Linked DNA regions of Macaca mulatta. The protein of the gene in region 3 interacts with the protein of the main gene of each other region in a biochemical or structural test. Links are inferred from orthologs where the notes say so. Each region holds a gene or a part of one and is shown on either strand. Other genes may lie near its edges. The genes, in order: SIMC1, DDX3X and SUMO2.

The links.
Region 1: the proteins of SUMO2 (region 3) and SIMC1 form a complex in vitro, tested with the Homo sapiens proteins (2 studies listed by BioGRID, with this or other methods). The link is inferred for Macaca mulatta from reciprocal best matches to the Homo sapiens genes SUMO2 and SIMC1.
Region 2: the proteins of SUMO2 (region 3) and DDX3X form a complex in vitro, tested with the Homo sapiens proteins (2 studies listed by BioGRID). The link is inferred for Macaca mulatta from reciprocal best matches to the Homo sapiens genes SUMO2 and DDX3X.

The regions. Positions count from the first base shown.
Region 1 is NC_133411.1:185,230,540-185,234,190, forward strand, and holds part of SIMC1 (SUMO-interacting motif-containing protein 1), read left to right. Parts: intron 1-439; coding exon 440-672; intron 673-1,452; coding exon 1,453-1,522; intron 1,523-3,651.
Region 2 is NC_133426.1:41,240,307-41,243,957, reverse strand, and holds part of DDX3X (ATP-dependent RNA helicase DDX3X), read right to left. Parts: intron 2,604-3,651; coding exon 2,471-2,603; intron 1,594-2,470; coding exon 1,435-1,593; intron 1,357-1,434; coding exon 1,257-1,356; intron 881-1,256; coding exon 745-880; intron 361-744; coding exon 275-360; intron 65-274; coding exon 1-64. UniProt on the Homo sapiens protein: Multifunctional ATP-dependent RNA helicase. The ATPase activity can be stimulated by various ribo-and deoxynucleic acids indicative for a relaxed substrate specificity.
Region 3 is NC_133421.1:84,873,784-84,877,534, forward strand, and holds the start of SUMO2 (small ubiquitin-related modifier 2), read right to left. Parts: upstream 2,430-3,751; 5' UTR 2,301-2,429; coding exon 2,280-2,300; intron 666-2,279; coding exon 534-665; intron 1-533. UniProt on the Homo sapiens protein: Ubiquitin-like protein that can be covalently attached to proteins as a monomer or as a lysine-linked polymer.

The DNA.
Region 1 (3,651 bases), on a different chromosome or scaffold from region 3:
TAAAGCTCTTGTTTGTCTGGTTGTTTTGAGATGGAGTCTCGCTCTGACACCTAGGCTGGAGTACAGTGGCGCCATCTCAGTTGACTACAGCCTCCACCTTCCAGGTTCAAGGAATTCTCATGTCTCAGCCTTCAAGTAGCTGGGACTACAGACACATGCCACCACGTCTGGTTAATTTTTATATTTTTAGTAGAGACGGGGTTTCACCATGTCGGTCAGGCTGCTCTCGAACTCCTGACCTCAAGCAGTTCACCTGCCTTGGCCTCCCAAAGTGCTGGGATTACAGGTGTGAGCTACTACACCCAGCCTCTTTTTTTTTTCTCATTATGAAATATTTCAAATGCCTGGAAAACGTTGCTGTCTTCAACCTATTCTAGAACCTCTTATTTTTGTATTCTACAGAAATCCCTCCTAATTTCCTTCTTTTTAATCTCTACAGAACAAGGGTCAAAAATTAGAACCCATCCCTCATCGAAGACTAAGAATGGTAGCAAATACCATTGAAGAGAATTTTCCCCTGGGGACTGTGCAGTTTTTGATGGACTTTGTGTCACCCCAGCATTACCCACCAAGAGAAATTGTGGCTCACATCATCCAGAAAATCTTGCTCAGTGGCTCTGAGACTGTGGATGTCCTAAAGGAGGCCTACATGCTTCTCATGAAAATTCAACAGTATGAACCGTAACCTCTGGCTGTTGGTGAATCTTCTAGGGATCTTGGACTCAGGGCATAGCTTTCTCTTGACAGGCTTTTTTAACTTGTTACACAGTGGGTGACTTAGTATATTAGTGTTATTTAAATTGCAAATGATAAGAAACCCAGTCTAAGCAGACCTTAACTACTGGTAAAAGAGAATGTAATGCCTCTTGTTACTAGAAACCTAGGAGTAAGATGTGACTTGATTCAGTATACAAAAATGGTTACCAGGATTCATTTTGCAGCTCTACTTTGGTTCTGTTTTGGGGCTGCGTGTGGTAGCCCTCTCACCCTCAGGCTTTTATGACACTTCCAGTGGGAGAGAGTGTCTGTTTCCTTTACAGTCACCCAAGAGTTCTGAAATTGAGTCTTGCAGGATTTAATTGGCCTAATGAGAGACATGACTATATCTTTGAGCCAATCACTGTGAATTGAGGGGTAGAACAGCATGATTGGCTAAAAAAGTCATATACTTCATTTTGGCGTTCTGGTAGGTAAAACTAGTTGGTTAAGAGTAGTGAAGAGTTGGTTTCTTAAGACAAAATTATAGTACTAAAGCTTTCCAAAAGGGGAGTGGATACTGGGTAGCAAAAAACAATGAAGTTCCACTACTCTCAGATTGACATGGTATAATACCACAGGGTGAGCAAGAGCGTGGAGGATAAGAAGAGGCTTCTTCCTTCTATCACCTTCCAGATCCCATCCCTTCTCCCTCTAAATTCTCCATAATTCTAATTGATTTCACTTGACTTTCAGGCTACATCCAGCCAATGCCAAGACAGTGGAGTGGGACTGGAAACTGCTCACCTACGTCATGGAGGAAGAGGTAACAACAATTACGAGGTTATATCTTCTGTAGGGGAAGTTTTAACTGTAAAGAAAAGTGATACCAGGTGCCATGGCTCATACCTATAATCCCAACATTTTTGGAGGCCGAGGCAGGAGGACAGTTTGAGCCCGGGAGTTCAAGGCCAGCCTGGGCAACAAAGTGAGACCCTGTCTCTACAAAAATAAAAATAAAAAATTAACCAGGCATAGTGACGCATGCCTGTGGTCCCAGCTACATGGAAGCCTGAGGCAAGAGGATTGCTTGAGCCTAGGAGGTCGAGGCCAGTGATCCATGATCACAACACTATTCCAGCCTGGGTGACAGAGCAAGACCCTGTCTGAAAAGAAAAGTGACAGTAAATCTGGTAATAAAGTCTACACCATTATTCCCTCCTGATACTCCCACCCCTGCCAAAAAATTCCTATTGAAATGGTATGTGCTGTCTTCCAATTCAAGATTTAGTATGTTTACTTATCCCTCTCCTTGAGATCCCATTAAAAATAATAGTAAATGAATAGAGAAAGTTATAAATTCATGGCTATAAAAAAGGGGGAAGGATAGTGGATTTGAATGAAGATTAGGGAGACCTACAGAGAATGTAAGAGTAATGACTGATGAAGCTGGGCAGAGAAAGCCATATACATGTAGAGAGGCTACAGCCAAGGAAGGACGAATCTTCCCTTTAGAGCACCAGAGAGGTCTTGGACTCAGAAACACAGTATCTAATAGAGGGCAGGAGTCAGATGTGGGCTGTAATTGGATATTTATTTTGAAAGTTGGTGGATGGAACAGCCAACCTCTTCTGAGGACAGGAGGATCAGTAGCCAGGTTACCCACCTTCAGGCAAAAAGTGAGAGAATTTATTGTCTAAAAAAGTTTAATGAGGCTGGGCACGGTGGCTCATGCCTGTAATCCCAGCACTTTGGGAGGCCAAGGCGGGCAGATCACATGAGGTCGGGAGTTTGAGACCAGCCTGCCCAACATGGAGAAACCCCATCTCTACTAAAAATACAACATGAACTGGGTGTGGTGGCACATGTTTGTAATCCCAGCTACTCAGGAGGCTGAGGCAGGGGAATCGCTTGAACCCGAGAGGTGGAATTTGCAGTGAGCCAAGATAATGCCATTGCACTCCAGCCTGGGCAGCAAGAATGAAACTCCGTCTCAAAAAAAAAAAAAAAAAGTTGAAGGAACCGTCTGTAATAAACAAAGAGCTAGTGCAGAGTTGGTGCTACAGGAAAAAGGTCTTCCACATTCTGACCTTTAAGGATCCCCGAGTTTAATAGCCAACTTTTTGTCTGCTCACCTAAAGCAATTAGCTACAACAAATTACTTTCAACTTAGAATTCTGTACATAGCCAAACTATCAGTTAAGTGTGAGGATAGAATTAAGACATTTCCAGCTATGCAGGAATTTGAGAATATATCCCCACACCCTGTTTCTTAGGAGGTTACTGAGGTAGTGTATCAAAGGCATGAGGAAGTAATCAAAAAAAGCGGGAAGGCATGGGATCCAGGGAACATCAGATTTAATCCAGGAGAATATTGAAGAGATGTCCCAAAATTACGATGAAGAGCGCACCTAGGAAGCAATTAGTCCAGATTGGAGTGAAATAACGGAGGACTTTAAATAGGAACAGTCTGGGAGACATCAGCAAGATGGTAGACTAGGAAGCTCCAGGCCCTTGTTACCCCATGGAGACACTGAATTAACAACCATATACAGGCCAGAATATCACTGTGAGAACTCTAGAGCCGAATTAAGAAGCTTCAGTGCCCAGGCCAATGCCTAACCCAGAGCATAGTCTATCAAAAGTGCTAGGAAAGTTTGTGGCATTTTACATGCCCATGTGCCTCTCCCTGCCTGGCAAAGCATGGTTCAACCAGGAGAAAACCTCCCATACCTTGGCTCTTCCCTTGGGCCAGAAACAAAAGAGTGGACCATGCATACAATGTACTGACTTGTATGGGGGCTGCCTGGCCGCCCACCTCGGCCTCCCAAAGTGCTGGGATTACAGGCATGAGCCACCGTGCCTTTCCTGGAGTGGGAGACTGAGGTGGGAGTATCACCTGAGGTCGGGAGTTCTAGGCCAGCTCAGCCAACATGGTGAAACCCTGTCTGTACT
Region 2 (3,651 bases), on a different chromosome or scaffold from region 3:
CTCTCGTTGGTGCTAATACCAAGGAGATTGGGTACTGTTTGCGGCGCCCATACCTTCCATTTTCCTAAGAAATAAATCAATTTTTAAGTTAACTCTACCTACCCTGTTTGAAAAGTTCATCACAACATAATTCCCTTTTGTAATTTATAGATTACAGATTACACTTGAAAACTGTTTTTCATTCGACTTAAGTCTTAGCATCATTTAGAAAGCCCTCTCAATGGCCTCCTACAAAGTTCTACAATAATTTCCCATTTTATAAAGAAACATCTACCTTCATGGCCCTCAAAGCCTCGCCTGGACCATCTGAATAAATCTGACTCAAGATGGGCAAGAGAAATGCTGCAGTTTTTCCAGACCCTGTTCAAAAACAAACAAATCCTGCTCATTAATTTTAAACAGACATTGGTAGATGACAGTGTTTTTTAACTGCCCTATTACTAGTAATTAGTACTTTTAGTTTATGATTAAGTTTTCCAAAAAGTGGCTTCTTTGGTCCATCTCTAAGAGGAGTCAGCAAACTGAGACAACTATTTTTGTAAATAAAGCCTGCTATTTTTATAAATACAGCTCTTACGGAATACAGCCATACCCAATAATTTATGTATCATCTATGGCTTCTCTCACAGTCCAATAGCAGCGCTGAGCAGCTGCAAAACTGCATGGCCCATAAAAAAATATTTTATTGTCTAGTCCTTTACAGAAAAAATATGATAATGTTTTACTCTTATGAGCTGAGCTTACCTGTTTGGGCACAAGCCATCAAGTCTCTTTTCTCTTTGATAATAGGAATAGCGTGCTTCTGCACTGGAGTTGGGCGAGTATAACGAGTAAGCTCAATGTTTCCCATGATAATTTCTCCCATCTCAACATCACTGAACTGTGAAGAAATTCAATGGGGTTAGAAATGCTATCTAAAGCTATTTCTGTTTTATACTAATAATGGAAACAACCAACAGCTGATTTGTAACTCAGCTTATAGTTTAAGAAAATTACCATATTATACTTTTGAGAAAAAACAACCCCCAGGCTTACTGCACATTGGAGAAGACTTTGGGTTGTTCCTATGTTTGACCCATTTTCTATTTTAGGTAATAAATTATTCATAATGGTGACACTGAACTCAACTTCTCCTTTTCCACAAATCTATGAAGCTGCTGGTCTACATGACTTTATGAAGCTCACCTCACATTCTAATGTACCATGAAAACATTTACACATCCCTGTGTCTTTAAAAGTCAAGTAAAAATACTTACACTTTCAATATGTGGAGGACAGTTGTTGCCTGTTGCCTCAACTGGAATGTCATCATATTTCTCAAAATTAATCCCAGTGTTGCCTCCAGAAAAGAGTTCCCTCAAATCAAAAGATGGGTAAGTTCATTTGTTATACTATAATGCTTCATCACAAGTAACATACACTTCAAAAACTTACTGTTCCAAGCGTTCACTTGGTGGGAGTGGTTTTGACCAATCATCTTCATCTGATTTGTCACACCAGCGACTGTTTCCACCACGTTCAAATTTGCCAAAGCCACTTCTGTCACCACGGCTGCCAATGCCGTCATAATCACTCCGTCCACGATCATCAAACCTGAACAGCACAAGCAATTAATCAGAATCATATCATTTAACCATTATCAGATTCTTATCCCTACTCTAGAACTGTATCTGGAGACTTAAGTTATGGCTAACTATAAGGATGTCAACAATCCAATTCTGAGTTATTTGACAAATAAGGCTCTCTAACCAGCATCATTTACAGAACCTCATTTTCTAAAATCAGTAATCTTTATATTTCTATAAAGTCGTATAGCCTAAAAAGCCTCGCAGATGACAAAATTAAGAATAAAGATTTTACTTGAAACTGGCAAACAGCTCACAACCTTCATTTAAAGTGCTCATCCAAATATATTTAATGGTAGGGAAAAGAAGAAAATAGCACACCGAATATCAATTGTCCTAGTTATAATAGGATGTCACTTAAAGGACAATTCACCTGTGTGACTTTGGATAAAAGGTAGAAAATAATCCTTACCTGAACTAAGATGTTATTAGAGTTTTAGGCCTGTTTGCGAAAAATCAGGACACAGGACTAACAACAGCTATTAGGCACATGGGGTCAGTTCACCATACTTGTGTAACCAAAAATACAAGGTATTTAGAAATTGTTATAGAGTCCACAAAAATCCCAACCAAATTAGGCCATTCACTAGAGGAACTTACTCTTTTAAGTGGAACATATAAAACTCGAGAAATAGAATAACTCATTTCATTATGCCAATGAACATATTCCTATTTTCATCTAATTTCTAACTAAGAGGTTCAATTTAGTAAAAGCCTCTTACAGCCAAGAAAATACAATGACTAAACAGACATAATGCTTGACATCCAAATGGGTGGTCAGGATAAGAACTTACTAAACTGTTATTACACATACACATAAGGTGGTAAGACAAGAAATCACTTACCTTCCCCTTGATCCACTTCCACGATCACTGAAGAAGCTAGACTTCCCTCTTGAATCACTACGAGATCCAAAACTGCTATACGCATCCTTATCTTTGCTAGAACTCCACCCTGAACTGTCTTTGTCGTAGAAACCTTCGATTAAAAGAGCACAAATCCATTTTATTATTAATTAGAAATAGGAACCATGTTAAGGTATTATCAATCTTTCTGAATTTGAAGGCCTCCACTATCTTATCTCTGTGGGCTTGAGGTTCAATCTCAAGATATTCCTACCATGGTCCTATAAGACAACCAAGATTTACAGCTGGTTTACACCAGGACAAAGTTTTTAATTCTCCCCACCAGAAAATATTGTCCACTGGCCAGGAACGGTGGCTCACGCCTGTAATCCCAGCACTTTGGGAGGCCAAGGCGGGCAGGTCACTTGAGGTCAGGAGTTCGAGACTAGCCCGACCAACGTGGAAATCCCGTCTCTCTAAAAATACAAAATTAGCCGGGCGTGGTGGCACATGTCTGCAATCCCAGCCACTCAGGAGGATGAGGTAGGAGAATCACTTGAACCTGGGAGGTGGAGGTTGCAGTGAGCCAAGATCGCGCCATTGCACTCCAGCACGGGAAACGAGTGAAACTCTTGTCTCAAAAAAAAAAAAAAATTTTACTGTACACTAAATCAAGCAATCTGACTTGTTTTTGAATGAATACTACCTCTAAGTGGTCAACAGCTTTGCCTATAACACATTGATTATGATACTGTTGTATGATCATCACAATTTAATTTCCATTCATTTTATAGGTGTGAATGGGTTTACTAGGAAACAGTTACTATTGTTTCCATGTTTCTTGGAGGTGGTATTCATTTAGAACATTCTTAGACTGTCAGATTACTTGGTTTAATGCAATATTTTTCAGTTTCAATAGTATAAAGCACAAGAATACTACTGTCAAATGGTACTATTATTTTAGTGGTTCGTCTACTATAAGCTTGATGACAATCAGGAATACCTGGGAAAAAGAAAAACCCTCATCACTATATATTCTCAGTATAGACAAGGTTCCTGGGTACAGCTATAAATATCCAAGTAAGTGGATGACAAACATGTAAATTAGCCCAAAGACAGATAGAGGGTTTAAACACAAGTAGAGTGTTTAGCTTCAGGAACACCTTATTAGTCAGAAACAG
Region 3 (3,751 bases):
CCAAAAATACTAAAAAAAATTGGCCAAGCGTGGTGGCAGGCACCTGTAATCCCAGCTACTCAGGAGGCTGAGGCAGGAAAACTGCTTGAACCCGGGAAGTGGAAGTTGCAGTGAGCTGAGCTCACGCCACTGTACTTCAGCTTGAGCAACAAGAATGAAACTCCGTCTCAAAAAAATAAAATAAAATAATAAAAGACTCTTAAGTAATTTTACCAAGTTCACTCTTACTTTCTTATAAACATAAAATTACATTTCCTTGGTTAAAAAAAAAACCAAAAAACAAGTATTGTAAATACAATTTGATGGATTTCTGGCACAGGACTGGAACCACATATAATACTAAGCAAATCATCCTAAGGGTTTTCATGAGCAAGCTACCAAGTGCACGATAAAACTGACATGCCAAGTACAAGTGCATATTCATCCCATCAAAAAGTCACTGTAGTATTATGCCAGGCTAGTTTTTGTTCCCATGAAAATAAGATTTTTAAAAATAGTTTTATTCAGTGGAAGTACACATATGAATTCCTCACCTGTCGTTCACAATAGGCTTTCATTAGTTTACTAAGTGGTGTATGCCTCTTAATCTTAAACTGCACCACAGAACCATCCTGCCCCGCCACCTTCAAATTAATATGATCGTTGTTCTCAGTCTTGACTCCTTCCTGTTAAAAGAAAAATAAAAGTATAATTTGGGAAATGTGATCAACACACACTTTTATAAAGCAGCAGCAGCCCTAAGTTGCTTCAAAAATCAACAGGTTTCTCATACGGTATGCTAAAACGGCATACGGCTGTTTTCAGCTGCTGAAATCAATGTGAAAGAGGAGAAATCCTGCAGCAACAGTATTAGATAGCTGTCAGATACAGAAAAGCCTACATGCAATACTATCAGTAACAACAATACATGTTTAAAGTTGGGTCCTATTCAGTGTATTGAACGTTCTCTTGAAGCTAAACTTTCTAAAATGGCATATATCACTCCCAAAATATATATTTTACCCCCAAAAAAAGTTAAAAATAAGAGTCTCTTTTCTAAGCACTTTAAGTACAACTGCAAGAAACAAAACAATAAATCTACAGCCTGCCATTCAAAACTCATTACCGTTGTCGTTAAAAAGTTACCAAACTCAGTTTAATAACCTAAATCCAATCTCCATTAAAGTAAACACACACACGAAAAATCGAAGAATATCCCGATTCCCTCCGGAACAGCGGTAATACTCAGGACCACAGTTACGTTCTCCTCTATTAGCAGCTTCATTTTTATCTTCGGTTAAGAGCACTTATTCTCCCCTCCCCTTTGTTGTCATGGGTCAAATACACAGTTTTATCCCAAGTGTTTCTTGTAGATTTCGACCCAACCTAAAGTTGTCCAAAATCGAGTGTAGAAGGCATGCTGTAGCCCTAAAACGCTTCAGAAAGTAAAGGCGCGAGAGGCGGGAGGTGTCACCAAACTAAAAGCAGCAAGTCCCGTGTGCCCCGATGATGGGTGTCCCCCAGTCCTCCCGGGAAGTCTTCGGGTGCCTCAAAAGCCGCATTCAAAAGTTAAGCCGCACAAAGTCTCTCTGCTCCTACCTGTGCCTCCAACTTCATGAAACCACATGGTCTTCGCGGATTAGGGGTTCGTTGGCACCCAGGGAAAAGCCGCTGCCCCTCCCCCCTCAGGTCCCTGAGGCCATTAAAGTGGGAAATACTCCACGGGAATCCCCCTACCCCCAGGCCCAGTACGGCGGCCAGCGGGCATCCAGGTTCCTGCTCATCAGCAGCCCATTGATTCGCCCCGAACCCTCGCCCCGCCGCCGCCGCCCCGGGCAGGAGTCCCCAGATGCCCGCGGTTTCTACCCCTGAGAGGTGAAGCCCGAGCCCAGGGGACTCCCCGCCGCCTCGGAGACTGCAACACCCGACGCGGGGTCGGCGCAGGGTGGAGACCCCGCGCGCCCTAACGCCCCTCCTCACGCGCGCCGGACGGCTGGGCCAAGAATCCCCGTTCGGGGCTGGTGGGCCCGCGGGCGTCCGCGATCTGCCCGCCCAACTCGCGCCCCGCGCGCACTCGGAGGCCGCCGGGGGCGGGAGAGAGCGGCGGGGCCTCCTCCGGCGCGGGAGGGAGGAAGAGAGGGAGGGAGGAAAATGGCGCGGAGCGCCGGGGCCTGAGCTGCGGCCGGCCCTGTGGGGGGCCCGGGAAGGCGCTGGGAGCCAGCGGCGAGCTCTGGCCGGACCCCGGCCCGCGCCCTGACCCCGACCGCGCGGCGAGGCGAAGGGGCCGGCGCCGAGCTCACCTTGGGCTTTTCGTCGGCCATGGCGAGCGCCGGAGTCTCCTCAGCTGCCGCTTCACAAAAGAGGTACCAGGTCCGCACCAAACGAGCACACAAGCAGCACCAGGAGCGGCAGAAGAAGGAGGCGGCAGCGGTGGACGAGGGAGAGGGTGCGCGCACGTCGTGCGCTCCCTCCCCCCACCCTGCGTGCGCGAGCACGAGCCGCCGGGGCCTCCCATTGGCTGGCGCCTCGCGGGAGCGCGCAACGCTTACATAACCACCCCCACCCCCCGCCCCGCGCCACCGCGTCCTGGGCCAGGCGCCCGCCCGGCCGGCGGGAAGAAGCGCGGACACGCGCACCCGGCCCGCCGCGGGGGCGCGCCTGGCTCTGGGCGGGGCTGTATTGTCCTCCTTCGTGGTGGAGCATAATCAAAATGGCTTCCAGCTGGTCCTCGGTGGGAACGATGAGGCTCGAGGCTTTAGACGTGAGCCATAGGCCAGGGAAGGCTGACTGACTAGAGGAAGAAGGGGATTCCTAAATCAAAGCCCCAGCATGAGGTTCTGGAAAAATCTCTCTCTTTCAGTGGACCAGCAGCCCTCCCATGGTTACTTCCTCTCAGTCAGTCTTAACCTGCTTCCCACCGGACTCTTGCCTCAAATGCAGTGTCTTCTTCTTTTTTTTTTTTTTTTTTTTTGAGACGGAGTCTCGCTCTGTTGCCCAGGCTGGAGTGCAGTGGCACGATCTCGGCTCACAGCAACCTCTGCCTCCCAGGTTCAAGCGATTCTCCTGCCTCAGCCTCCCGAGGAGCTGGTATTACAGGCGCACGCCACAACACCCGGCTAATTTTTTGTATTTTTCGTAGGGACAAGGTTTCCCCGTGTTAGCCAGGATGGTCTCGGTCTTCTGACCTCGTGATCCGCCCGCCTCGGCCTCCCAAAGTACTGGGATTACAGGCGTGAGCCACCATACCCGGCCTGCAGTGTCTTCTTCTGTCCTGCTGGTAACCCTAGACTTTGACTAGCTACGGGAAAATGTTCGTGTATTCATTCAACGAACTCCTTACTCATCGCCTATCTTCCAAGAGGAAACAGTATCCTTAAGCGAGAACTACCCAACAATCAAGCTTCCAGCCAATTTAATCATTTCCTCCTTGCATCCAGTTAAAACATAGACATGCATCCCTCCTGTCTGAAGAACAATCCAGTGTGTGCACTGGATTCCATCTTGCTCCTCCCCCTGGGCTTTATTATTTGCTTTTGTCCCTGAATTTTCTTCCTCTCCTCCGTTAGTATAGAAAAAAAAAAAAAAAAAGAAGAAGCTCTCAATTCTATTAAGTTACCATCCTATCTCTCTCCATTCTTGGCCAAACAGCTTGAAAAAATGTCCCTGCCAGCTGTCTCCAACCCCTCCCCTCCCACTCACTCCTCAACCCACTGCAATCTGGTGCTGTCCCCAAAGTTCCACTAAAACTGCTCTCCACAAGGTCACCGCAGAC